Linked DNA regions of Cricetulus griseus. The protein of the gene in region 1 interacts with the protein of each later gene in a biochemical or structural test. Links are inferred from orthologs where the notes say so. Each region holds a gene or a part of one and is shown in the gene's direction. Other genes may lie near its edges. The genes, in order: Slc9a3r2, Pdgfrb, Tbc1d10a, Pth1r, Sgk1 and Slc9a3.

Region 1 (3,954 bases):
GGTACCCAAGGGGCTGCTGCCTATGATTTTGCTCAGAGGCGGTCCTGGTGCTTGGGTGGAGGTGGAGAGCTCCAGCTAAGGGCTCCGGAAAGAGGAGAGGGAGAGGCAAACACTGAACTAGGGCTGCATCTCCTATCCACATGGGGAATTGTATGAACTGGCTATACCTGATCCAGGGGGACCAGGTAAGTGAGGAGCAGTGGGCTGGGGAGAAGCAGACTGTAGGTGAGCCTGGATCTCAGCTGCCATATGTGCCTGAGAATATACTTGCAGGTCAAAGTGCAGTCTCACAGTACTAGGCTCCAAAAAAGGTTCAGAACCTCCCTTTGCCAGGCCTCGGTTTCCTGATCTGTAAAATGGCCTCTTTCCTCCGGGGTTGTTCTGAGGGTAACTGTATAGGAATATGCATAAGTGATTCTCTGAGGGACTGCTGTCCCGCAGGTGAGAACTTACACAAGTGTAAAAGTAAGAGTTTATGGGGGATAGAGGATGGGAGACCTGTGGGGTTTAATATGGGACAGCTGGTCACCACCTAGAGCTCAGGAGCCAAAGTTCATCCTTAGCAGAGATCATACCAGGTCAAGAGGAAGGCAGCAAATACCCTTGCATCTCTGCCAGATAAACTCATGTTCCCGAAAAGCAGGGACTATGGGTTCAGGATGTTTAGTGAACAAACACTTCCTGGGAGGGGCAGGGGGTCACCTAGTCACTGGCATGTCTCTTTAAATTTGTATTTTGCCTGTTGCACTCTGTGTTGGGGATCTAAATTCAGAGGGCAAAGAGGGAGCGGCCAGAGCAATCCCGGTGCGGTGCGTAGAGGTGTATTCCGAGGAGGGAGAGCAGCGGCCCCTGTTCTTGCCCTCTGGTCTCTGTGTAGGGGTCCTTTCTCTAAGCTCCCTATTTCAGGAACCTCTTCAATGTAGGGAATGTAGGGTATGCAGGTGTCTATGAGTGGTTCCTGGAACAGAGGGCGAAGGTGCTTCGGAGGGTGGCCAAAATGGGATGACATAGGAGTCCCAGGGCTCGGGGTTGTGACCCTGCAATCTTCGCTCCATGGTCTGGGCTCCCAGGCAGGGGCCTAGCTAGCGGGGCTTGGGCTAGGGCGGGGGCAGCCAGGAGGGCGGGGAAGGGGCGGGCGCGGGGGCGGCGCGCTGCAGCAGGAGCAGGAGCAGGGGCCAGGGCCAGAGCCGAAGCCGGAGCCCGAGGCGACGCGAGCTGAGCGGGAGCCACAGAGGCCGCTGCCTGCTCTCCCGCCCGCGCCTCCGCCGCCTCCGCGCTCCAGCCTGCGGGGGTGTGAGCCGTGGCCAGTCGCGGCCAGCCAGGGGGCAGCGGGTGCCATGGCCGCGCAGGAGTCGCTGCGGCCCCGCCTGTGTCGCCTGGTGCGCGGCGAGCAAGGCTACGGCTTCCACCTGCATGGCGAGAAGGGCCGCCGTGGCCAGTTCATCCGGCGCGTGGAGCCAGGCTCCCCAGCCGAGGCGGCCGCGCTGCGCGCCGGGGACCGCCTGGTTGAGGTCAACGGCGTCAACGTAGAGGGCGAGACGCATCACCAGGTGGGTCCCTGCGCTGCGCCCCGCCCCCCGGCACCCTCCTGGGGGCGCGTCCCTACAGCGCTGGCCAAGATGCCAACAACCCCCACTTCTGCGTGCCACATGGTGGGACCCGGCCAGGGTCGCACAGGGGCCTGCCTGGGTTCGGTGTTGAGGTGTGGGACGTGGCCGGCCAGCTGGCCTCCTGGTGAGGAAGCTCAGTCCTGCACTAGCGGGGGAGGGAGGACATCCTGGTAGGGAGGGGCCGCACTGCGGCTACTCTGGCCAGGGCCCTGGCTGCTTCTGCTAGTTTTGGCCTCTGTGTGCCATGGAGGGGGAGGAGGTGGCTAAGGCACCTTGTGGCCTTGTGGTACAGATGCTTTTCTGTCAATGTGTGAGTGCTTGCAGGTCTCTCTGGGGTCATCCATATGAACACACTACCCAACTGTTCCAGGATGAAAGCATTCAGTGTCAGTGCTGGAATGTGTGTCTAGGGTTGGGTGGATACATCAAACATGTATGCCAGCTGTGTGTGTGTGTGTATGTGTGTGTCCGTCCATCTGTCTGTCTGCATGATTGGATATACTGGTGTACTTCTCTCATGGGCCCTTATGTCTGGGTCTGGCAGTCAGCACCATGGCAGTATACTTCCTTGGTGTCAGAAACAGCCTCCTCCTGAGAGGCTGCCTGGCCCTCCCTGTATAGGTCACTGTTCAGCTCTTGCCTTCTGTAGCCAGAGGAAGGCTGTTCTCTCCTCAGGTTTTACCTCTGGGTGTCTGTATCCTGCTGAGGGGTAGACACACCTCAGACCTTGGCTAGGGCCCAGACTTCTTCCACCATTTCTGCCTGGATCCCTGGTACCAGCATGTCCATGACCTACCTGTGTGGTTAGTCTTGGAGCCTGGAGAAGGCAGGGTGGTACTTCACTGGGCCATGAGGGAATTCCTGTCTCCCTCAGGAACCTGCTTTCTACCTACAGTGACCACTGGATTTGGTTGTGTGATGAAGAGTTTGGGATGGAGCCCAAAGGTTGGCCCACAAGGCAAGGTAGAGACCTGCAGGGTTGGTGTCATCTGCCTCTAGCAGTTACTGGAATCCACCTGTTTATCGCAGGTTTCTGGGGTGCTAGTCCCTACAGACTTTCACGCAGAGCCACATTCGATCCTTTCTCCTGCTCAGGAAGATAGGAGGTAAAACCATGACTCCTATTTTACTGACTGGCTCCGTTCCCATGCCAAAAGGTGTCAGGGTGCTGGGATCCTGTTCTATTGGTCACAGGGAGAGAGGATGGTCATGGAGGGGCCAGGTGAAGGTGGCTGTGGGTCAGACCTTCCTATCTGTGATAGGATAGCATGTACTAAGTGAAGTAATGATGGGGATTCCGTCTCTTCAGCCGCAGGCCTTGGTGCAGTTGTTAATGCTTCCTGCCCTTCAGATGTCCGGTGGGCATGTCTCCCTTTGAACTCAAACTAACATCCTGCATGATCCATGGTAGCCCACATGCTCTCCACACTTCACAGGCACCCATCCAGATACACAGATGGCTGTCAAGCCACACCTCTTACACTGTTGTATCTGCTACTGTTCGCCTTACCTGCTGGAGTGGGATCCTGCTTACCTGATATTTCTGGCACCTTAGGTAGAATCTCTAGTTCTTCACCCCTTTGCAGGTGCAGCAAGAATGGGTTTCTAGTCCTGGTCTGGAGGCAAATTGGAGTTCTAGAGATTTCTGGGTGTTAGATTCACACTGCATCTCAGAGAAAGAAATAAACCCAAATACTCACATTGGGGCCATGTAGCCCTCTCCTACACCTAGGCGGAAAGACAGACTTTAAAATAGATGCACATACAGACACACACACACACACAAAAGCACACACATACAGATAAGCATGCACACACACATGCATAGACTAGACTGAAATCCTGAAGCTCAACTCAATCGTTTCTGACTCTTCCATCTGGCTGCTCCTGGCATCTCCTTCCTGTCCTTACCTGAGCTTGGTGCAATGCCACAAGAGGATCCTGAAGTACTTGCAGCCTGGGCCCTAGCTCAGGGAGAAGAGGGAGGGAGCTACTGGAAACTGGGGGTGGGGGGTGGAGCTCGCAGGCCTCTCAGTCCAGCTGCCCACCCCTGGCAGGCCAACCCCTGCCTGCTGTCTGTGAGTCGTGCTTTGCCAAGAGTGGCGCCCTTTCGAAGTGGTGCCCTATCCATGTGTTGCCCAGCGTGTTGGCTGCTGATCTAGTCCTGCTACCCACCCATTCCAGGTGGTACAGAGGATCAAGGCTGTGGAGGGGCACACTCAGCTGCTTGTGGTGGACAAGGAGACAGATGAGGAACTCTGCCGGCGGCAACTGACCTGCACTGAGGAGATGGCCCATCGAGGGCTTCCACCAGCCCACAACCCCTGGGAGCCAAAGCACGACT
Region 2 (3,500 bases), on another chromosome or scaffold:
CAAGGTCAGGCTGGAGGAACAGAAGCCTTTCTGATGTGGATTCATTAGGCCACTGAAGATCAGAGTCAGCTCCTTTGGGCAGCCACCCAGTGAGTGCCTCGGCCATTTTGTTAGACATGGCACTTAAATCTATGACCCAGGCATAACAGCCCAACAGGGCTTGGAAGAGAGGAGGGCATGGCCTGGTCCTCAGGGTGCTGAATGCTGTGAGAGGCACGGGCAATGCTCAGGAACAAGAAGAGGGTTTTCATAGCCTGGCAGGATGATGCAGAGGCCAGCCTGAGCCCAGCTGAGATCTGAGCAGGGAGTCATTGAGAGGCTCTGGGGCTTGCCGGTAAGGCCAGAGTGTGGGCCCTGAGGCCAGCTATCTAGGCAATAAGGGCTTATGTGTAGGCGGAACAAGTCCAATGGATCTGTGATGCCCACAATGAGATGGGGAGAGCAGCTGCCAGTCACTGTTTGCTTATGGCTGTTCTTTGCTCTGTGTTCAGCCCTGCCCTTCAAAGTGGTGGTGATCTCAGCCATCCTGGCCTTGGTGGTCCTCACCGTCATCTCTCTCATCATCCTTATCATGCTGTGGCAGAAGGTAAGCACCTGTAGCCTATAGGTGCAAAGTAGCACCCATATTTCCTCGTGGTCTCCACTGAAGAGCACACAATCTGGCATATCTGAAGGGCCCGACGTGGAGCTCACTTGGGAGCTGACTTAGAGCAACACTGGGTCCCCATCTCCCTCCATCCACAGCAGGCTTGGCTGACCTGGGCCTGGTGCCAGTAGTCCAGGACTCCTGGCCCCTGTTCTTTCCTCTGCCTAGGTCCTTCCTGTTCAACCCAGTCGTGAGACAAATGGTACTTTGTGGGTGGACTATCCTGGCCCCATGATTCTTCCAGCTCTTATCCACAGACTCCCATGAGTCACTGGAACGCAATCTGACCCCACAAATCTAAAGTTTCAATGTTCTATTCTGACATTTTCCCACTCTGTAGCTTCAAATGCTTACAATTTCTGAATTGGGACTTTAGTGCCCACCCCTTCATCCTGTCATTATAAGATTCCAGTCCTGTGACTCCTGCATCCTAAGATTTCCACATCCAAAGGCCACCTCCCTTTGAGACCCCACAGAGTCAGACTCGACATGGGGAGGGGCCACCACATTTGACATCTTTCCTACCGTACGTTGTCATTTCCTGGGTAACCTGCCCTTCCCATCTGAGGAGTAACTGGGGCCAGAGAGAAGCTGATGAAGCAGTTCCAGTGAGTGAGGACCACCCTGACAGCTGTTCTCCCGAGGCTTTGTCCTCAGAGTTTCTCAGCCACACCTTCCACCTGCTGAGGCCCCTTAGTGCCAGCTGCCTCTGAGGTCATGGTCTTGTCCTGCAGAAACCACGCTATGAGATCCGATGGAAGGTGATTGAGTCTGTGAGTTCTGATGGTCATGAGTACATCTACGTGGACCCTGTGCAGTTGCCTTATGACTCAACCTGGGAGCTGCCACGGGACCAGCTTGTGCTCGGTCAGTCCTAAGAGGTCTTCGGTGCCAGTGAGGACCCTGAGATCTGTTCCCAGCATGGTTGCTACTAGCTGAGTCCCAGCCAGAGCTGATATCTTGCCTTCACTGGCTTTCAGCATCCTTTCTATATGGTGAAGACAAGATGATCCCTGATAGCATGGAAGCCGTAGGAACCCAAGACTGATCTATGGGATCCCTCCAGGCCAAAGAGGAAGTACTGGAGATAGTCTGGGGAGTCTGAGGCAGGTGTGGAGGAGTTGTGATTCCCTGAGGAGACAAGAGGTCTTCCAGGGACTCCAGGAAGGCAGACAGCAGGCAGGAGCTAGATGAGACTCAAAGGATGGGAGCTTCCTGAGGGGGAGCACAGTGGGGTGGTAGGGGGGATGTGGACTATGACCTGAGAGAATAGTCCTCCATTCTGAGTGGGAAGATGAGGCGAGGCTTCTAGTTCCCGGGAGCTAAGGGTTTCTGTTCATCCTAGGACGCACTCTAGGCTCCGGGGCCTTCGGACAGGTGGTGGAGGCCACGGCTCATGGCCTGAGCCACTCACAGGCCACCATGAAAGTAGCCGTCAAGATGCTGAAATGTGAGTCTTGAAATGTGAGCCAGCCCACCCCTTCCTCACACCCAGGGCCCCACTCTGCCTCACCCTTCCCTGTACATCTGCTTTCTTCTGAAGGGCCTGGTCCTGAATTTGTGGGACAGAAAGGCCCCTTCCTCACTGTGACCTCTTCAGATTCCTCCTCCTTCTCTCCCCTCCTCCCACCTTCTCCCCGCTCCAATGAGGTCTTCACCACTCTAGGACACTAGTCCCACAAGAGGGAGGGACAGAGGAGCCAGAGTAGGCCCTGGTAGGGCCTCTATACTGCCTCAGTGGCCCACTCAGGCTGAGACCCTCTCCCTCCTCAGCGACAGCCCGAAGCAGTGAGAAGCAAGCCCTCATGTCAGAGTTGAAGATCATGAGTCACCTGGGACCCCACCTGAACGTTGTCAACCTGCTGGGAGCCTGTACCAAAGGAGGTACACAAACTATGCCCCAGGGGACTCTAGAGCTCTTCTTTTCTGTTCTCACTCAGTCCACCAACAAAGGACACCCTTTCTGGAGTGTCCACACATCTGCTGCCCAGCACTTTTACTTCGCCATCCCAGACGGGCTCAGTTTTAGAAGCTCAGAATCATGATACCTTCGTGGCAGAGAGATTCCTCGGGCCACTAGTTCCAGCAGCTTCCAAACCCAATTCTCTCTAGACATATTTTTTTTCTTTAGGTTCTTAAATTTTATGTGAGTGGGTATTTGCCTGTGTGTGTGTGTGTGTGTGTGTGTATGTGTGTGTGTGTGTGTGTGTGTATGTGTATGTGTGTGCGTGCGTGCCTGGTGCCCGAGGAGGTCAGAAGAGGGCATCAGATCCTCTGGAACTGGAGTTACAAATGGTTGTGAGCCATCGTGAAGGTGCTAGGTATGGAACCAGCATCTTCCGTGAGAGCAACAAGTACTCTTAACCGGTGGCTGCCTCTCCAACCTCCATTTTTGTATTTTCACAATACTCTTTGAAAACCGTGAGAAAGTAACAGCTTCTACAACTCAGAGACAGCTGAGCCCATCAGCGAGCTAACCAGGAGCCAGGTTTTGTTCACATGGGTATTGGAAGCCGCACTGCCCAACTGTGTTTATTTGAGGTTTTGGTTACCCATTGGGCTGCCGACGTAGTAATAATAGTGAAGTTATTGCCATTTGCAGCTGTCTGTTGTGAGATCTGGGATTTTCCTCGGTATTGTGTAATTGGTCTAAATACAGAAGTACATTGCACACAGACTGTTGTCCGTGTCTGCAATGAGCATATTTCAAAAGTGTTGTTTTCATCTGTTGGATGGCTTTAAGTGCGTTGAACTCAAATGTAACTGGCAAATTGTGCTGACAGTCACGTTTACCTGCTTTATGTAGACCAGAATCCAAGAGTCTGAAAACAGCCGCAGCAACTGATGTCCTAGG
Region 3 (4,236 bases), on another chromosome or scaffold:
AAGAAAAGTGAAATACTGTTATCTGAACTAGCATTATTCCTAACAGAAAAAGAAAAATAATTCAAATAACTTTCACTGATGAATAGTGTATAAATGTGGTATGTCAACACAATGAAATTTAATTCAGCCATAAAAAGAATAAAGCAATAGTAAGTGCTCAAATGTAGATAAATCTTAGAAGCAATAAAAAAAAGTTTAAGGTCAGCCTGTACCACATAGCAAGATAAGACCCTCTCAAACAAAAAACTGGACACACAAAACGATTGGTAACCACAGATAACTGAAATGTCTAGAAAAAGCAAAATTTGTAGGCACAAAGTAGAATAGTGGTTGCTGTTACTGAATAGGAGTTTCTTTGGGTGATAAAACTTTTCAAAAATTGGATTGTAATGTTTGCTTGCCTCAGTAAGGATGCTAAAGAACCATAGTATTGTACTATTTGATATAGGGCCATTGTTTGTAGCCCAGTTGGCCCAGAAACTCATAATCTGTTTTGGCCTACTGAGTGCTGAGATTACAGGGTTGCATTAATTTTTATCTATGCGTGGGTGGGTGGACAGGATGATGGAATTCAAACCTAGGAAGTATACACTTTAAACATAAATTGTGGTATGTTAATTGTATCTCAGTAAAACCACTGGAGAGCCAGGCATGGTGGTCCACAACTGTAATCCCAGCATTTGGAAGACTGGGAAGCACCCTGGACTAAAAACTCGGCCACAAAACAATACAAATCAACCCTCACCAAAAAGGTGTTGGGAAGGAAAAAGATTACAAAGGAAAGTAGAGCTCAGGTCAGGTTTTGTTTGTTTCCGTGTTTTGAAACGGATTCTCTGTGTAACAGTTCTGGATAGAACTCACTTTGTAGATCATGCTGTCCTCGAACTCAAGAGATCCATTTGCCTCTGCCTTCCGAGTGCTGACGTTAAAGGCGTGCGCCACCACACCTGGCTCAGTATTATTTTTATAGGGTCTTCCATGAGCTAATTTAAACGCCCATGAGCAGAGCAGCAAGGTGATTCATATCCCTAAACCCACTTGCATCTCATCACTGTTCAAAATGAACAGGCGAAACAGCCCCACCCACGACCCTGTTTCGCAAGGATCCGGCCCAGGGAGGCAGAGGCGGGCAGGACCTCCGGGGAAGCCCTGGGCCTTCTCGCCCCCACCCCCCACCCGAAGCCGCAGCAGGTGACACGCCAGCCCGGGGCCAACCCGGAAAAGCCTGAAGAGCTAGTCCAGGTGAGTTTTCGTGATTGGCAGCCAGGGAAGGCGGGTCCCTGGTGACGGTTGTCCCGCCCCCTCACGTCGGTCCAGTTGGCGCCAGCCTGAAGAAGGGGCGGGGCCCTCGGTACCCATTGGGCGCGTGGTGGGAGCTCCCTGGGGAGCCACCCCCAGTTTTGCGGCAGCCAATGGATGCGGCGCGTGGGCGGGGCGTCGGCAGCGTCGGCGGAGGCCGAGCTGCTGAAGCGGCTGAGGTGGCCGCTGGCGCTCTGGTGGCGGGCGCGGCCGGGATGGCGAAGAGCAGCAAAGAGAATGGGCCGCGCGCGCCCGCAGCGGGCGGGAGCCTGTCGGGGACCCGGGAGAGCCTGGCCCAAGGTCCCGACGCCGCTACTACCGACGAGCTCAGCTCTCTCGGCTCCGACTCAGAGGCCAACGGTTTTGCCGAGCGCCGCATCGACAAGTTCGGCTTCATCGTGGGTTCGCAGGGCGCCGAGGGCGCGTGAGTAGCGCTGGGGTCTGGGTCGGGCGCGGGACCAGCGCAGGCGTGGGCCTGACCCACCAACGTGTCTCCACTGACCGATCCCCACAGACCCGCCCCAAGCGGCAGTCTACTTCCTACCTACGTCGGGCAGACAGGCCACCCCACTTCCTCCCGGTCCCCATGCTGGTACCCCCCCAGACCGAATGATCTGCCCTTCCGAGGGACTCACATTGCCCTCCCGACTGCGGGATAACCACCAACACCAGCCCCTAGACTCACCAGGTCACACTTGCCTTTAAGGCTGATTGACTTTACCACCCCCTGACATGCGCATAGATGGCTGCCCCATACTTTTTCCCCTTAGCTGTTCTCAATCTCTCTCCCCTACCCCACAGAATCCTTGTCTCACCACCTCAGGAAATCTTAGATCGACTTCAGGACTCCCAGCCAGCCCCACCCCACTCCAGGTCACACTAACCCTTGTCCAAATACGTAGACACATTGACACTGGCCAGCTTCCTCCCAGACAGTCCCATCTTGTCACCAACAGTTACTTTACTTTCCGTCATGGGAAGGTCAGAGAGCACCCCCACCCCCCCCACACACCTTCTGCCAAAAGGCAGCTTTGTCCATTGTCACAGGCAACAGGTGGGCAGACACTCCCCCTTCCTAGTAGTTTACAGGGCCACAATGCCTCACCTCTAGGACTCACTATCAGCTTCATCACCACAGGAGCCAGCCAGCAGACTCCCAGGCTGCTGTGTGTATACATACTAACTTCCATATCCAGATCTAGGGCAGGAGTAGGAGGGAGACATCAGGAGCCCCACTCATGTAACACCCCACCATTGAGCACCCAGGCACCCCACTGGCCATTAGAGAAACATGAGGCAGTGGAGTAGCACCTTCCCTCCACTATGAGCCTGCTGGGCTGCAACCTTCTGCCCCACAGAACCCCCAGAAGTCAGTCCTCTCAGAGACTTGTGAGTCCCACCCACCAAGCTAGTGGTCCCCTCAGAAAGATGGCCTCTAGATCCTACTTCATTCAGTTGTCTTGTGATATGAGACTTAGTGCCATACAGAGAACTGACAAGCCTCCCTCCCATAGTGTGCCTCCCAGTTTATAGAGGCAGCCTTGCAGTCACCGGGAGAGCCTTTACACCAGAATATATCCCCCTCTCCTCTGACTAGTTGTGACTGCCCAAGGTGTCCCCAGCTATTCTTGGGACTTACAGAAGTGCTTGACTATCTTAAGAAACACACTCCATAAAGTTGTCCCATATAAATGTCGGTTCCATAATATCATAACACCCACACACACACACACACACACACACACACACACACTCACACACACTCACACTCCAAGAGTGTCTTATTCACCAGGCCTCCTCCTCAGGAGGAAAATTTTACAAATCCAGGCTTCTAACCTAGATGGAGCTTCCTCCCACCCACTGGATCTGTCTCTACCATCCCTTCAATACTTGCTCACATTAGGCTAAGCCTAGTCCAAAACTAGGAGAACCCCTCATATTCACCCTTCACCCTGACTTTGTCCTAGTTTCCTTGGTATGAGCTTCATGTAGAGAGGATTTAAGGGTGTGTTTCAATTTGAACACAGTCATCAGGGATCAGGGGCTGGGAGGGGTGAGGTCTTGCAGGAGTAGGAAGGGATTCTCAGTTTTATTAGTGGGGTCTTGGCAGTAACAGTTCAGATTTGCTGGAAAATTCTAAAGCATGCTTATTGGGCATTTAACCAGATTTCAGGATGCAGGTTGATGTGATAAAGTGAGGAAGGACCAGACTTAAGGGTCATACTTGTTGGCTGTGTGACCTTGTACAGATTTTGAATTCCCTAGCCTGATTATTCAAGGGCAAAATTAATGCCTATATCCAATGCTATTGAAAAAAAAAGTGAGAATCTGATACATGAAATCACCCAGCACCATGCCTGGCACAAGTAATAGTCCAAGAAATAGTTTACTTTCTCCTTCTAAAAGTCTGAGAAATGAAGAGAAAAATGAGGGCGTACCTTTGGTATTTGTGGGAAGAGTCGCCCAATGGGAGCACCTCCCTTTGGCTCTCATCCCCAACCAGGCAGCCAGATGTCTATCTTCTCCACCCTTCAACTACAAACCTGGGATGTGGCTTTGCAGATGCCCTCTACATCTTCTGTGTCTCTGAGGCCAAGGCTGAATGAGATTCCAGATCTACTTGTGTCTCTCTGCCTCATTTTCCTCAGCTTGTCAGTTAGCAAGATCTCTGGTATCAGAAAGCTTGGATCTTCCTGGTTTGGTTTATACTGTGGTTCTAAAAAAGTCAAAAGTAAGTCCCTGCCCAAGGCCATAAGAAGGGAAGTTGTGGGAAGTTTCAGGGTGACCGCCCTGAGCCTAGTCTCGTGGTTGAGGGCTAGGAGTCCCTGTGCTAGTGAAGTGAAGTGAAACATTAGCACAAATGGCCTGCAATGGAGATGATGGGAACTGTCTCCAGATTAAAGGTCCATTTCAGACACCCTGGGACAAAGGTTGTCT
Region 4 (4,048 bases), on another chromosome or scaffold:
GCCGGGCAGCCAGGGGGGATCCCGAGAGTCCATGAAGTCCCCCCGGGGCGCGGGCGCTGGCTTGGGGGCTGTCGGGGGGCCCCGACATTCATGGCCAGGCGGGGGGCCGCGGCGGCGTGCTCCGAGTAAGTCGGGGTTTGGGGGGGTCGGGCGCGTGGGGGCGCCGGACGGGCCGCAGGGACTCGGGGCCCGGCCAGGGCGGGCCCGGCCCGGCCGCTCGGTCTCGGTGTCAGTCTGCGGCGCCTCCTCGGAGCCCGCGGCCGCTCAGTCGGTGGCTTTTTTGGAAACTCGCAAATGTTTTCGTAGAGGAGGGGAGGGGGAAGCGAGGGAGTGACCGAAACCGAGCTTGGGGCGGCTGGAACGGCAGAGGCCAAGGCCGGGGAGGAGGGGGGTGTCGGGGGCGGGGGGCGCTAGCCAGAGACGGACGGACAAGCAGACAGGCTGCCCCCACGTCGGGGCCGCAGAGCAAGCGCTCGTGCCGCTCGGGCGCACGCGGCGCGGGTTCGGAGGACGGGACTTGGGGCGCAGGCAGGAGGTGCCTGCCCAGGGCCTGGGGGGGTCCAGACCGGGCTGGGGAGCCGGGCCGCAGTGCCGCCGGGGAGCCCCGAGCTGGGGACAGGAACACCGAAGGGCTCAGCGCCGTTGCAAAAGTCGGGATGGCATCCCGGAGTTGCACGCCCCGCGCAACTCAGAACGCGCCCCCTGCCCCGCCCCGCCCCAGCTCCCCTGTTGCCCACTGCCGCGGAGCTAAAAATAACAGCCTGGTCGCCCCCCGCAGACCGCGACCCCGACCCCTCCCCCGCCCCTCCCACTGGGCGTGGAGCGAAGCCACGGCTCCCAGTTCCCCAAAAGAGGGGGGAAAAAGACAGAGAGAAAGAAAGAAAAGGCGGCGCGGGAGGGGAGCGGGGGGCGGGCCGGGGGCGGGGGGCCCAGCCATATGGATGTGATTTCTCCGCTCCGAGGCAGACAGGCCGCTCAGCAGCGCTCGGCGCCCGCCCGCCGCCCGCCCGGCCTTAGGCTGCCTCCCTCCCTCCGCCCTCCCTCTCTCCATTGCGCCGGTTGGTTCTCTCGCTCGCCCTCGGCGTATGGGCCCCGCACCGGGCTCCGGGGCCTCGGGCCGCCCGGACGCCGGGGTCCCCTAGGACGGGGTGTGGGCGGGGCGGCCCGGCCTGACACAGCTCTGCACCTTCCAACCATCACCAGGGCCGGCGGCGGCTGCCCCGAGGGACGCGGCCCTAGGCGGTGGCGATGGGGGCCGCCCGGATCGCACCCGGCCTGGCGCTCCTGCTCTGCTGCCCAGTGCTCAGCTCCGCATATGCGCTGGTAAGTCCCTCTCGGTCTACACTCAAACACAGGAATCCTGGAGTTGCTCTGGGATCCCTGGGGAGAGTGTAGGCGCAAAGTCGTGGGTTCTCCTAATAGTCTGAACTTTGGGATGCTGCCCCTGCTCTGAACCAGGAATCCTGGTGCCTGCTCTCGTTGGGGTGTCTTACCGTAGGTTCCAGATGTCTGAAGTTTCCCCGCTTCTGAAGACTTGGCTTGGGGTCCTGGGTCTGGAAATCTGTGGTTGGAGTTTCCCTACGCCGTGCTTCTGTGAGCACACGGCTCTGGTCGTATGTATCTCTTTCGATGGTGACAGTGTGATCCAGAGGGCTCTGGGTGTGGAGTCCCACAGACTGCGTTGGGGGCCTCTGCTTTCGCAAGTTTTGTTTGCACCCCGTGCTCAAAGCTGTGTGCAAGAAGTCAGAAAAATCACATAGACTGAGGATAGGGTTTAGAACCCCCTCCAACTCTGGGGATCCCACAAATAGACAGATTATGCGCTAATGGGACAGCTTTACCCCAAGTAGAAGTCGTTTGCCCAGGGAGGTGGGTGTGGTGTGGTATGGAAGTCCCCTGAAAGACCTCCCCCCCAGTACACCTGTGAGATACGTGCTGGAGAGTGGGCTGATCTTTGGGGATACTGTGCATGGCCTCGGAATGGAGACCAAGAGATAGAAAAGAGGGCTAGAGAGAGACAGACAAAGGGTAAGGATGAGAGCTCTCGACTCCAGCAGGGACAGACTCAGAACAGCAAAGACAAATAGATGAGGGCTGGAGACACTGAGGGAGATCATGACCCGTCTTGGGCTAGGGTCTGGGAGCCATTTCTCTGAGAGGGGAGATTTTCCATCCTCTCATATTCGCAGCAGTCCTACCAAAGTATCCAGCCCATTCCTGAATCAGCTTTTGTGCCTGACTTTAAGGTCTTGTTGCCCCCTTACCCCAACCCTGATCCAGCTCTAGAAAGACAGGGCAAGCAGCTTCCTCCACAGAACAGAGCCTTGAATCCGAGGACACAAGAGCTCTGGGACCCCTCCAGCTCAGCCTACAGCTTAGTGACCTTGGACTGCCTTTCCCCACACCTCAGTTGCCCATCTGTGAAGAGAGCATGAGAGACGTTTCCTAACATCCTTGTATTTGATGTTCTCCTTCTGTGGTCCCCGGCACTCTATTATCAGGGCCCATACCCTCCCAATTCTAGTCCAGTAATGGATTTCCAAAACCAAAGACTACCCCAGAAAGGAACTTGTACACAGGGAAACAAGTTCAGAGGGCCCAGCTTTGCTGTTCCGGAAGATGCTCCAAGCACGGGCAGCAGAGCTGTTTGCTGAATTTCCCTTGGTGACTTCTGTGTGTGTACACATACGTGTGCATGGTGTAGACTGGCTGATGGATAAGGTGTCCTGAGTGTGTGCCTGTATGGCCATCCGAGTAGGGCTTTGTGGGCATCTGGGTCGGTCTGTGGGATTGTGGGTATTCAAGTCCATATGTGCCTGGAACTGTGGATCTGCACAGGACTCTGAGGGCAAAAGCACAGTTGTTTGCGTATGTACGCGTGCGCATATATGAGTGTGAGTGTGTGCACACAGGCCTTTCTTTACTTGTACTCAACAAATGCTTTTGTGTTTTTTGTTTGCCAGTCCATTGTTCTATACACTTTGCGCAGATCAGCTAGTTTAATCCTACCAGCCACCCTCTGAGAAAGGTATTTTCCCTATTTTTTATTAACTCATCCAGTCCCCTGTGAGCATTATCTATCTTATGTTAACCAGGTTCCAGGCCCTGTGCCTCACTGTGTGTGGCGGTACAGAGCCCCTAGAACTCCTCAAAGCTCTAACTGAAAGCAGAAGGGCAGATGCCTGTGTGGCTCTGCAGGGTCCTTGCTGGGACATATCAGTGCACTGGACCATCTCCTGCTTCAGGTCTAAGGGGTGTAGTCCAGGGGACAGGTTTGGCCAACCCACCCACCCACCACTCTGTGGGATCCCTGGGCTTAGCTGGAGTCAGCAAACACCTGGCAGCCTGCCCATTCTCTCCTCTAAGCCTGGGAGCTGCTTCTGTGTCCAGATGTGTACAGGTGTGGACAAAGCCCATCCACCTCAGCTGTCACCAAACCTACAGACTTACCTACTCAGCTAGATCCAAGCCAGGCTCACTTCTCTGGTGACCTTGGTTGAGGTCCCAAAGAGCGTCCCACTGGGAGAACAATGACCACAGCTGGACTGGGCTGGTTCATCTGTGCCCCACAAAGAAGAGTAGACCAGAGATGAGCATTGAAGGAGTGAAGTTTAAAGGAGGGGATAGGCTCACAGCAGATGAACAGGCAAAAGGAGGCTCTTATCCTTTGCGATTTCTTACCCTAAGAACACCCTAGAGAACCCTCAGCTCACATGAATGTGACGGTCAGCAGGGAAGCAGGCCTGGGTGTGGGGTATGACCCTTGGATAGGAGGGCTCCACAGAGAACTGTAGTCTCTTGGGCAGGTTGTGCAGGCAACCTCTTCCAACCAGCCCAGGGGGGCAGCTCAGAATTTTTTAACATTTAGAGTGTGTGTGCGCGCGCGCGCGCGCGCGTGTGCGTGCGTGCGTGCGTGTGTGTGCGTGTTTACAAGTGCTTGCTGGAGTCAGTTCTCTCCTTCCACTGTGTAGATTCCAGGTATTGAACTTAGGTTTCAGCACTTTACCTGCTAAGTCATCTTGCCAGTTCAAGGTGCTTGCTTTTAAAA
Region 5 (4,199 bases), on another chromosome or scaffold:
TTTTTTTTTCAGAGGGGAAGGAACCAGGAAGGAGGGGGTACAGGATGGGGTGCAGCAGGACTAGTCTAAATAAATGACTGCTGCCACGTGGTTTTTGGAGGCACTCACAGGCAATAACAAATTCACAGTTTGTGCAGAATTCAAGCACGGACAAAGCAGCATGGGCTAACTGCTGTGATTTGGAGTTGCCTATACACCTTGTTTTAGGTTGGAGTGCCAATTTCAGGCACCCTAAGTGCGTTTTGAAGAGTGTCCACAAAGCAAAATCTTGTCTTCAAAGAGGGGATGTGCGTCCCCTTCAACGGGTCTCTGGCTGTCTGAAAGTGAGGAAATCAAGCAGCAGCTGAGACTAGAGATCACATTAGGGCATGTGAGGTGGCTGTGGCTGTAAAACAAACTCCTGCCCAATACGGAGGGAAAAGAGCTTCGCATGCTTTTCCTGGCTTGACAACTGGTATTTTGGAGTGTGTCAGCTCTAAAATGTTGGGCCCTTCTCAGCGAGGGGTCATGGCAGGGCAGTCACCGCAGACAGCACCAGCCAGCGCCAGGTACTGGCTCTGAGAGTCTTGCTTACTTGTAGCCACGTTCCCGCCCCTGGTCCAGACCGGTGCTCCCGGCTTCCTAGCCAGCGCTGGCGCGGGTCGCCGCGTTGGCGGTCAGGCTATAGCGCCAGGCATCCCCCAGCGGCGGGGTTACTGCAAGGTACCTCACTCCTCTAGCCAGCTCAGGCTACCTCCTGCAGCTTTCCTCTGTTCCTAGTTTTCTGAAACGAGTCTCTTAACCTTTAAAGAGTTAACGAGTTTCAGTTATATGTGAACTTGCAAGAAAAAGCAAGGTTAGAAAATTAAGACTACTTGGGCCCGCTGTGAGGTAACTCAAAGGAGAGTAGGGAAGATGCGGAATAACGAACGGAGCTTAAGGCGATGCAACGCAATTTTGCATTTTCTTGTGAGAGAGCAGCAGGTCCCCTGGCAGGGGAATCGACGTCGCAAGGGTCACTCCAGGTCGGCTCCCAGAGCGAAGCCCCTGCTCCCCCTAACTTAACACCTCCTCACGTGTTCTTGGCATGGCTAGGATTAAAATTTGCAAGGCACAAAAATTATATGCGGAACGGACAGAATGTTCTCGGAGATTAGTTGAAAAAAAAAGTGAAATGAAGATTGTACTTTTTTTTCTTGTAGTGCAGAGACTTATTTCCGCCCCCTCCCCTACACATTCCTGACCCCCCTCCCCCCGCTCTTTCCTTCCTTCCTTCCTCCTCTTCCAAGTTCTGGGATTTTTCAGCCTTGCTTGGTTTTGGCCAAAAGCACAAAAAAGGCGTTTTCGGAAGCGACTCGGCCGTGCACAAGGGACATTTGTTTGTTTTGGGACTGGGGCAGGAAATCTTGCCGGCCTGAGTCACGGCGGCTCCTTCAAGGAAACGTCAGTGTTCGCCGGTCGTTGTCGCCCGCTGCGCGCCCCTCAGTCCGCGGCCATGGGGGAGATGCAGGGTGCGCTAGCGCGGGCTCGGCTCGAGTCCCTGCTCCGGCCCCGCCACAAAAAGCGGGCGGAGGCGCAGAAAAGGAGCGAGTCGGTCCTGCTGAGCGGACTGGGTAAGCACCGCCGCCCGGCCCGCGGGGACTCGGCTCCGGAGGGGTATGGGTGGGTGGAGGTCGGATGGAGACGGGAGGACGGCGCCGCACAGGACCCGGCGGATGCGAGCCGGGCACCGGGTCGGGAGAGCGAGGAGGGGAGAGGTCGGTGCTGAGCGGCGCTCCGCTCGGGCAGTGCAGGAGAGGAAATGGAAAATCACCGGGGCTCTCCACCCCTCCAGTCCCCTCCTTCTGCCCGGGCGGACGGAGGCCGAGTGTCCCCCTGAGCCCGGGTCCTGCTCGCACAGCCCTTGAACCCTCGGCCCTGCCGGGGCGGTCAGCACAGCTCACCCAGGATCAGGCGGCCAGCCACCCGCATCCGCCCGGGTCCCGGTCAGCAGTCGCAGTGGCGGCCGGGGGCGGGGCCTCGAGGTGGGCGGAGCCCGGAGCTCCGCTTCCTCATCATTGTTCCGCCGGCCCCGCCCCCGCGGCGGCGCAGAGCATATAAAGGCTGCCGCGCGGCCGGGGTGCGCTGTTGGCTAAGCCGGTTTCACTGCTCCGTCTTGTCTCTGGTCTTTTCGGGGCGATGACTGTGAAAACCGAGGCTGCTCGAAGCACCCTCACTTACTCCAGAATGAGGGGAATGGTAGCGATTCTCATCGGTGAGTGCTGGAAAAGCACCGGACTTGAATAGGAGAGACGACGTGAAAGGCTGGAGGGTTTTGAAGGTTCGGGATCAGATTAGCGTGTGGCGTCGGACGTTACGGAGCCGCCTAAACCTTTTCTTTTTCCTCTCTTTTTAATTCACAGCTTTCATGAAGCAGAGAAGGATGGGCCTGAACGACTTTATTCAGAAGATCGCCAACAACTCCTATGCATGCAAACAGTAAGTTTGGGGTAATTAAAGAAAATAAAAAGAATCGTTTAAGTTTAGCAGCCGCTAAGACATACTATTACCACTTTGTTCATCGGGGGAAGCCGAAGTATTTTCTCTGGGGTAGAGATCTCTTGGTCTTGAGCATTTAGCTTATCTGAAATAATTCTAAACATTAATATTAATTTATGGGTCGAACCTGCCCTGGAGATGTAAGATTAATTCGCGTGCATGTTTATCAAATTTCACGTCCTCTCTCGATGGACCAACCTCAATTTGTATATTTAACCGGGTTATTTTCTTAACCTACGTTTTTGTAAGTAATTCATTCAGATGTTTTCGGTTTAAACGGTGAACGGTTGAGTCAGAAATTGAGCTTATGTCGGTGTGCCCTCTGGTGGCGAGTTAAGAGTTTCTAAACCGGTCCTTTAATCCCCGCAGCCCTGAAGTTCAGTCCATTTTGAAAATCTCCCAACCTCAGGAGCCCGAGCTTATGAACGCCAACCCCTCTCCTCCGGTAAGTACTCTTTTCTGGAGGGAAATGGTAAATGAATCTGTAGTGGTCAGTTAAGACATCATTTGAAAAAATTATTTATTGTGAAGGTAGGAATGTCTTCAAAACATAACAAGTGGCATAAGTGTTTAAGTATTGAGTCACTGGAATGTTTTGAAAGGCATATTTCATAAACTTGTATCTGCTACCAGTTGGCTGTGTGCAGCTTTTACGTACTCACAGATATTATCATAGATATTAAAGGGCGATGTTTTTGTTTTCTAGCCAAGTCCTTCTCAACAAATCAACCTTGGTCCGTCCTCCAATCCTCATGCTAAACCATCTGACTTCCATTTCTTGAAAGTGATTGGAAAGGGCAGTTTTGGAAAGGTAATTTTCAAATATGACAGCTTTAAAACTATGCTCTTTTGTGCATTCATTTGCACATTCTCCCTGGATGAGGATAGAAAAAAAATTTGACTTGTTTGATTGACATTTCAGGTTCTTCTAGCCAGACACAAGGCAGAAGAAGCATTCTATGCGGTCAAAGTTTTACAGAAGAAGGCTATCCTGAAAAAGAAGGAGGTAGGAGTGACACCTGATGGCCTTAGTGATTATCTTTACCCTGTTATTTGGTGCCAGGCTGAAGTCTGAATTTGGTACTGAATGTCACCTTTTTCCTAGGAGAAGCATATCATGTCAGAGCGGAACGTTCTGCTGAAGAATGTGAAGCACCCTTTCCTGGTGGGCCTCCACTTCTCTTTCCAGACTGCCGACAAACTGTACTTTGTCCTTGACTACATTAACGGTGGAGAGGTGAGCTGGGGGAATAGACCTCTAGAGGTGGTGGGGTTTCTCTGCTCAGCTTGCTTGGTTCAAGGAATCAACATTTTCTTGAACTTATCAATTTATTATTAATCTATTTCAAGCCACTTTCTGCAGTCTTTCTCTTCAGGCTTATGTGTCAGACTTGATTAAATGGCCCCACTCAGCCTTGCTTTGTTTTGTCTCTTGCAGCTGTTCTACCATCTCCAGAGGGAACGCTGCTTCCTAGAACCACGGGCTCGCTTCTATGCTGCTGAAATAGCAAGTGCCTTGGGCTATCTGCACTCCTTGAACATAGTTTATAGGTAAGTCGGAGGCAAAGCAACCTGGCTGGGAAGGAGGGAGGCCTGGCGGAGCCTTTGGAGTCTTAAAATATGTGATTATGTACAATTCGGTCACTTCTAAAACTTCCCTAGCATGTGAGCCAGCCAAGAGG
Region 6 (3,500 bases), on another chromosome or scaffold:
GCTCTCTCATCCCCCATCAGCTGTGGGTAGCTGGGGAGACAGAAGAGCTTTACATTATCCCAGGTACCCAAGAAGAGATCCATCTAATACAGTGGTCCCCAGCCTTCCTAAGGCTGTGAGCCTTTAATACAGTTCCTCATGTTGTAGTGACCCCCAACCATGAAATTATTGTTGTTGCTACCTCATAACTATAATTTTGAGACTGCTATGAACTGTAATATAGATATCTGTGTTTTCCAATGGTTTGGGGGGTTGTGACACACAGATTGAGAACCATTGATAGCAACTTCTGCAGGAAGTGTCATCAAAACCCCAGGCGGAAACTAGTTGGCTTCTTGATATTCAAGCTTACAAGAAACCAGTGACTACCCTGATCTCATGGGTGCACACGGGTGGGGGTGGGGGTGGGGGGTGGCTTCTGTTGTGACTCCTCCCATTCCTCTGGGGAACCTTGTCTCCAGATCTTCACTTTGCCACTGTAGTCCCGTATAGGCCCTGATCTCCCTGATCCTCTTTCCTTCCCACAGTCTTTCATCTGTCCCACAAGGTCACCAGTGTCGTCCCTGAGAGCGCTCTGCTCATCGTTCTGGGCCTGGTGCTGGGTGGCATCGTCTGGGCAGCTGACCACATTGCCTCCTTCACACTCACACCCACGCTCTTCTTCTTCTACCTGCTACCCCCCATTGTGTTGGATGCTGGATACTTCATGCCCAATCGACTCTTCTTTGGTAACCTGGGCACCATTCTGCTATATGCTGTCATTGGCACCATATGGAATGCAGCCACCACAGGATTGTCCCTCTATGGTGTCTTCCTCAGTGGCCTAATGGGTAAGTCTATATATTGTCCCCTGGGTGAGCCAAAGTAAAGGTGTAGATCACAGACATAGAAGGGTTGGGGCTAAGGGTGACAGGCAGTGTCTTTGGGGACTACTTAAGTAAATAGCCTGGTATTTGTAAGAAGGTTCAGTCTATAAGTAGCTTCCTTGGAACATCTGCAAGCTAAGGCTTTTGTGTCGTGTTCAGAACAGATTTGTGACCGCACAGACCAGCAGGATGGGTAAGTGTGCATAGGTAGCTATTCTCTCTTGCTCCTGACATAGTTGGCAGAGTGGTGTGAGCCAGCTGTTCAACCCCCATGGGAGAAAGAGATGAAAGTGGACTGCTCCTAGACTCATGAGTGAATTACAGAGTTGAGCATGCCAAAGTCTTGAGTGGTTTGGTGCTGTTTCTGCTCAAATCTGCTAGTGATTACTTCACTTAGCCTTGGTTACCTCCCAGGAACACCCCACCCTCTGTGCTAAATCTTTGTCTAGCTGGGAGACAGCAGGTGATGTCTGAGCAGACATGAGTAGGTGTTCACAGGAGGACTCAGAGTCAGGACTTTCCCTTTGGCACATTCACTGAGTGAATGAGACCCTTGAAATCCTAGAGACCAAGGAGAAACAGGGAACAGTAAACCCAGGAACTATCAATTGCTTGGGACCTTATCATTTTAGGGAGTTCCTGGGGTCCCTGCTGTCCAGTATCATTAGAGACCACAATGGTAAGGACCTGCCTGGCTAATAAGACTCTAGGCATCCTGCTCTGGAGTTGGTACTACTGGTCATACTGGTGATGCCATAAGGCAATGGGACACATCTAAGATGGCTGTCTCCCTCTGGCCCTGGAGAGACGCCTTGGGATACAGAGTGGGGACTTCTGGAATCTAATACCCATAACCCTTCAAGGGTCATGCTGGTCCTCACTTTACAGCCTTGTCACCCATAAGATCCCAGCATGTGATGTTCCTGGAGCTGTTTTTAGGGTGCATGGAGAATCCGCTAACAAACTGACTTATGGTGTAAGCACAGGTCTTTAAGCTAGCTGAGACTTGGCAAATGTGCTTACATTTGCCCAAATCTAGAGTATTTTAATCTCTGGGGACACCCAGGCCCATTTTCCTACCATGCCATAGCCATGAAGAATTGTTACACCACAGTGTCTTTTAATAACCATTATTGTTGTGTATCACTGCCTGCAGACTCTCCCATGATAGACACAGGCTGGCATCCTGTGTCCACCTTTGGAACCTTGCTGGTCAAAGCAGACCAGAAAGATCGTACTTGTCCCATGAGCTCCCTTTTCTCTGTGACTCTGGCTGATGGTTTACCCAGGATTGCCTAGGCAGTGGTGAGTCCCTGAAGTCAGCAGCTCAAGGCCAGGGTTCACTCACCCTTACTGGGAGAGTCAGGCTAGGCCAGCTATCCTGCAGGTCATCAGTTCTAGGCCTAAGGCAAATGTGGGCGCACTTTCCAAGTTGGGGGGGGCAGTCCTGGTTCAGTGGACTGTACATCTGCTGGGATCCAGCTTGTTTTTGGAGTGTATTCTGGTTCTGTCAAGATTCTAGAACAAGAGGCTGGTTCTGTTAAGGCATTTCAAGGCTGGACCAGAAGCTGGTTTGCTCTGGAAAGCTGGGCGGGGCATATATAGCGTGGCAGTTGAGTGTGTGGTCCTTTTCTGAATGGAAACTCAGGAAGACTCTGGTCTTAGTTAGAGGCAGCATAATTTATTAATCACAGACATATGGGGCTCAAGTCACTACAGAGACCACTCTGTTCTTTGACTTCTACTCTTTTTCTGGGGCACACTAGATATCTGGGGGTACTTACTTCCCAAGGTTCATTCCTTTGTCCAAAGGATGGCAAGTTCTTCCCCAGCTCAAAAAAGAGAGTGAAGCACTTCATGGGGAACTTGTAGCTTTACACATTCTGGGGTGTCTGGCTGCGAGCTCTAGTCTCTGAGATTCTCTTTGTCACTGGGTAGCCCTGGGAAGAGTTGTGTCTAGCTTTTAATCCTGATGTCTCTGATCTCCTAGGGACCTGATAGATGTGGGATTTGGACAAAGGGAGCCAAGTGTCTAGCCCTTGTCCCATGGTCCACATCTCTTGCAGGTGAGCTGAAGATTGGACTCCTGGATTTCCTGCTTTTTGGTAGCCTCATTGCTGCTGTGGACCCTGTGGCTGTGCTGGCTGTGTTTGAGGAAGTCCATGTCAATGAAGTTCTTTTCATAATTGTTTTTGGAGAGTCACTGCTGAATGATGCAGTGACTGTGGTGAGTGATGGTGGGGGTCCCTGGGGTAGTTGTAGAACACTTCACTTGACAAGTGGGCATTGCCAATATGCCTCAGATAGATAAGCTAGATAGAGGTTCATTATCTATACATGGTCTCCCTTTACAGCCATGTTTGCAACCCAGGGATGTCCAGCATCCTGCAGGGTGTTTCCTTCATCTGTCCCCTGGCACAGCGGCCTGGGGGTATGAGTTGGGGGGAATAGGCTCTGGCCTTTATCTGTCTCCCTAACTCAGATTCATCCAATTTCTCTCTTTTACAATCTTAGGCCCACCCATTTCATGCCTTTGGAGGTAATGCTGCCCAGTTGAAATCCCCATATCCATGTCCCCCAGTGGTCTATAATTTTGGACCTACGCTTGCTACTGCTCCTAAGAAACAGACCAAT

The links.
Region 2: the proteins of Slc9a3r2 (region 1) and Pdgfrb form a complex in vitro, tested with the Homo sapiens proteins (2 studies listed by BioGRID and IntAct, with this or other methods). The link is inferred for Cricetulus griseus from reciprocal best matches to the Homo sapiens genes NHERF2 and PDGFRB.
Region 3: the proteins of Slc9a3r2 (region 1) and Tbc1d10a form a complex in vitro, tested with the Homo sapiens proteins (2 studies listed by IntAct, with this or other methods). The link is inferred for Cricetulus griseus from reciprocal best matches to the Homo sapiens genes NHERF2 and TBC1D10A.
Region 4: the proteins of Slc9a3r2 (region 1) and Pth1r interact in a test that uses a peptide from one of them, tested with the Homo sapiens proteins (2 studies listed by BioGRID and IntAct, with this or other methods). The link is inferred for Cricetulus griseus from reciprocal best matches to the Homo sapiens genes NHERF2 and PTH1R.
Region 5: the proteins of Slc9a3r2 (region 1) and Sgk1 form a complex in vitro, tested with the Homo sapiens proteins (2 studies listed by BioGRID, with this or other methods). The link is inferred for Cricetulus griseus from reciprocal best matches to the Homo sapiens genes NHERF2 and SGK1.
Region 6: the proteins of Slc9a3r2 (region 1) and Slc9a3 form a complex in vitro, tested with the Homo sapiens proteins (2 studies listed by BioGRID and IntAct, with this or other methods). The link is inferred for Cricetulus griseus from reciprocal best matches to the Homo sapiens genes NHERF2 and SLC9A3.

What each region holds. Positions count from the first base shown.
Region 1 is NC_048600.1:44,234,673-44,238,626, reverse strand, and holds the start of Slc9a3r2 (Na(+)/H(+) exchange regulatory cofactor NHE-RF2), read left to right. Parts: upstream 1-1,154; 5' UTR 1,155-1,337; coding exon 1,338-1,550; intron 1,551-3,794; coding exon 3,795-3,954.
Region 2 is NC_048595.1:178,029,831-178,033,330, reverse strand, and holds part of Pdgfrb (platelet-derived growth factor receptor beta), read left to right. Parts: intron 1-491; coding exon 492-586; intron 587-1,380; coding exon 1,381-1,513; intron 1,514-1,991; coding exon 1,992-2,096; intron 2,097-2,419; coding exon 2,420-2,530; intron 2,531-3,500. UniProt on the Homo sapiens protein: Tyrosine-protein kinase that acts as a cell-surface receptor for homodimeric PDGFB and PDGFD and for heterodimers formed by PDGFA and PDGFB, and plays an essential role in the regulation of embryonic development, cell proliferation, survival, differentiation, chemotaxis and migration.
Region 3 is NW_023276807.1:100,701,843-100,706,078, reverse strand, and holds the start of Tbc1d10a (TBC1 domain family member 10A), read left to right. Parts: upstream 1-1,436; 5' UTR 1,437-1,514; coding exon 1,515-1,723; intron 1,724-4,236.
Region 4 is NC_048597.1:218,233,628-218,237,675, reverse strand, and holds the start of Pth1r (parathyroid hormone/parathyroid hormone-related peptide receptor), read left to right. Parts: upstream 1-1,248; coding exon 1,249-1,323; intron 1,324-1,493; exon of another isoform or gene 1,494-1,723; intron 1,724-4,048.
Region 5 is NC_048595.1:267,814,325-267,818,523, reverse strand, and holds the start of Sgk1 (serine/threonine-protein kinase Sgk1), read left to right. Parts: upstream 1-1,399; 5' UTR 1,400-1,474; coding exon 1,475-1,592; intron 1,593-2,082; exon of another isoform or gene 2,083-2,157; coding exon of another isoform or gene 2,158-2,233; intron 2,234-2,381; coding exon 2,382-2,457; intron 2,458-2,886; coding exon 2,887-2,962; intron 2,963-3,223; coding exon 3,224-3,328; intron 3,329-3,439; coding exon 3,440-3,523; intron 3,524-3,622; coding exon 3,623-3,754; intron 3,755-3,955; coding exon 3,956-4,068; intron 4,069-4,199. UniProt on the Homo sapiens protein: Serine/threonine-protein kinase which is involved in the regulation of a wide variety of ion channels, membrane transporters, cellular enzymes, transcription factors, neuronal excitability, cell growth, proliferation, survival, migration and apoptosis.
Region 6 is NC_048595.1:368,807,008-368,810,507, forward strand, and holds part of Slc9a3 (sodium/hydrogen exchanger 3), read left to right. Parts: intron 1-527; coding exon 528-830; intron 831-2,932; coding exon 2,933-3,093; intron 3,094-3,500. UniProt on the Homo sapiens protein: Plasma membrane Na(+)/H(+) antiporter. Exchanges intracellular H(+) ions for extracellular Na(+) in 1:1 stoichiometry, playing a key role in salt and fluid absorption and pH homeostasis.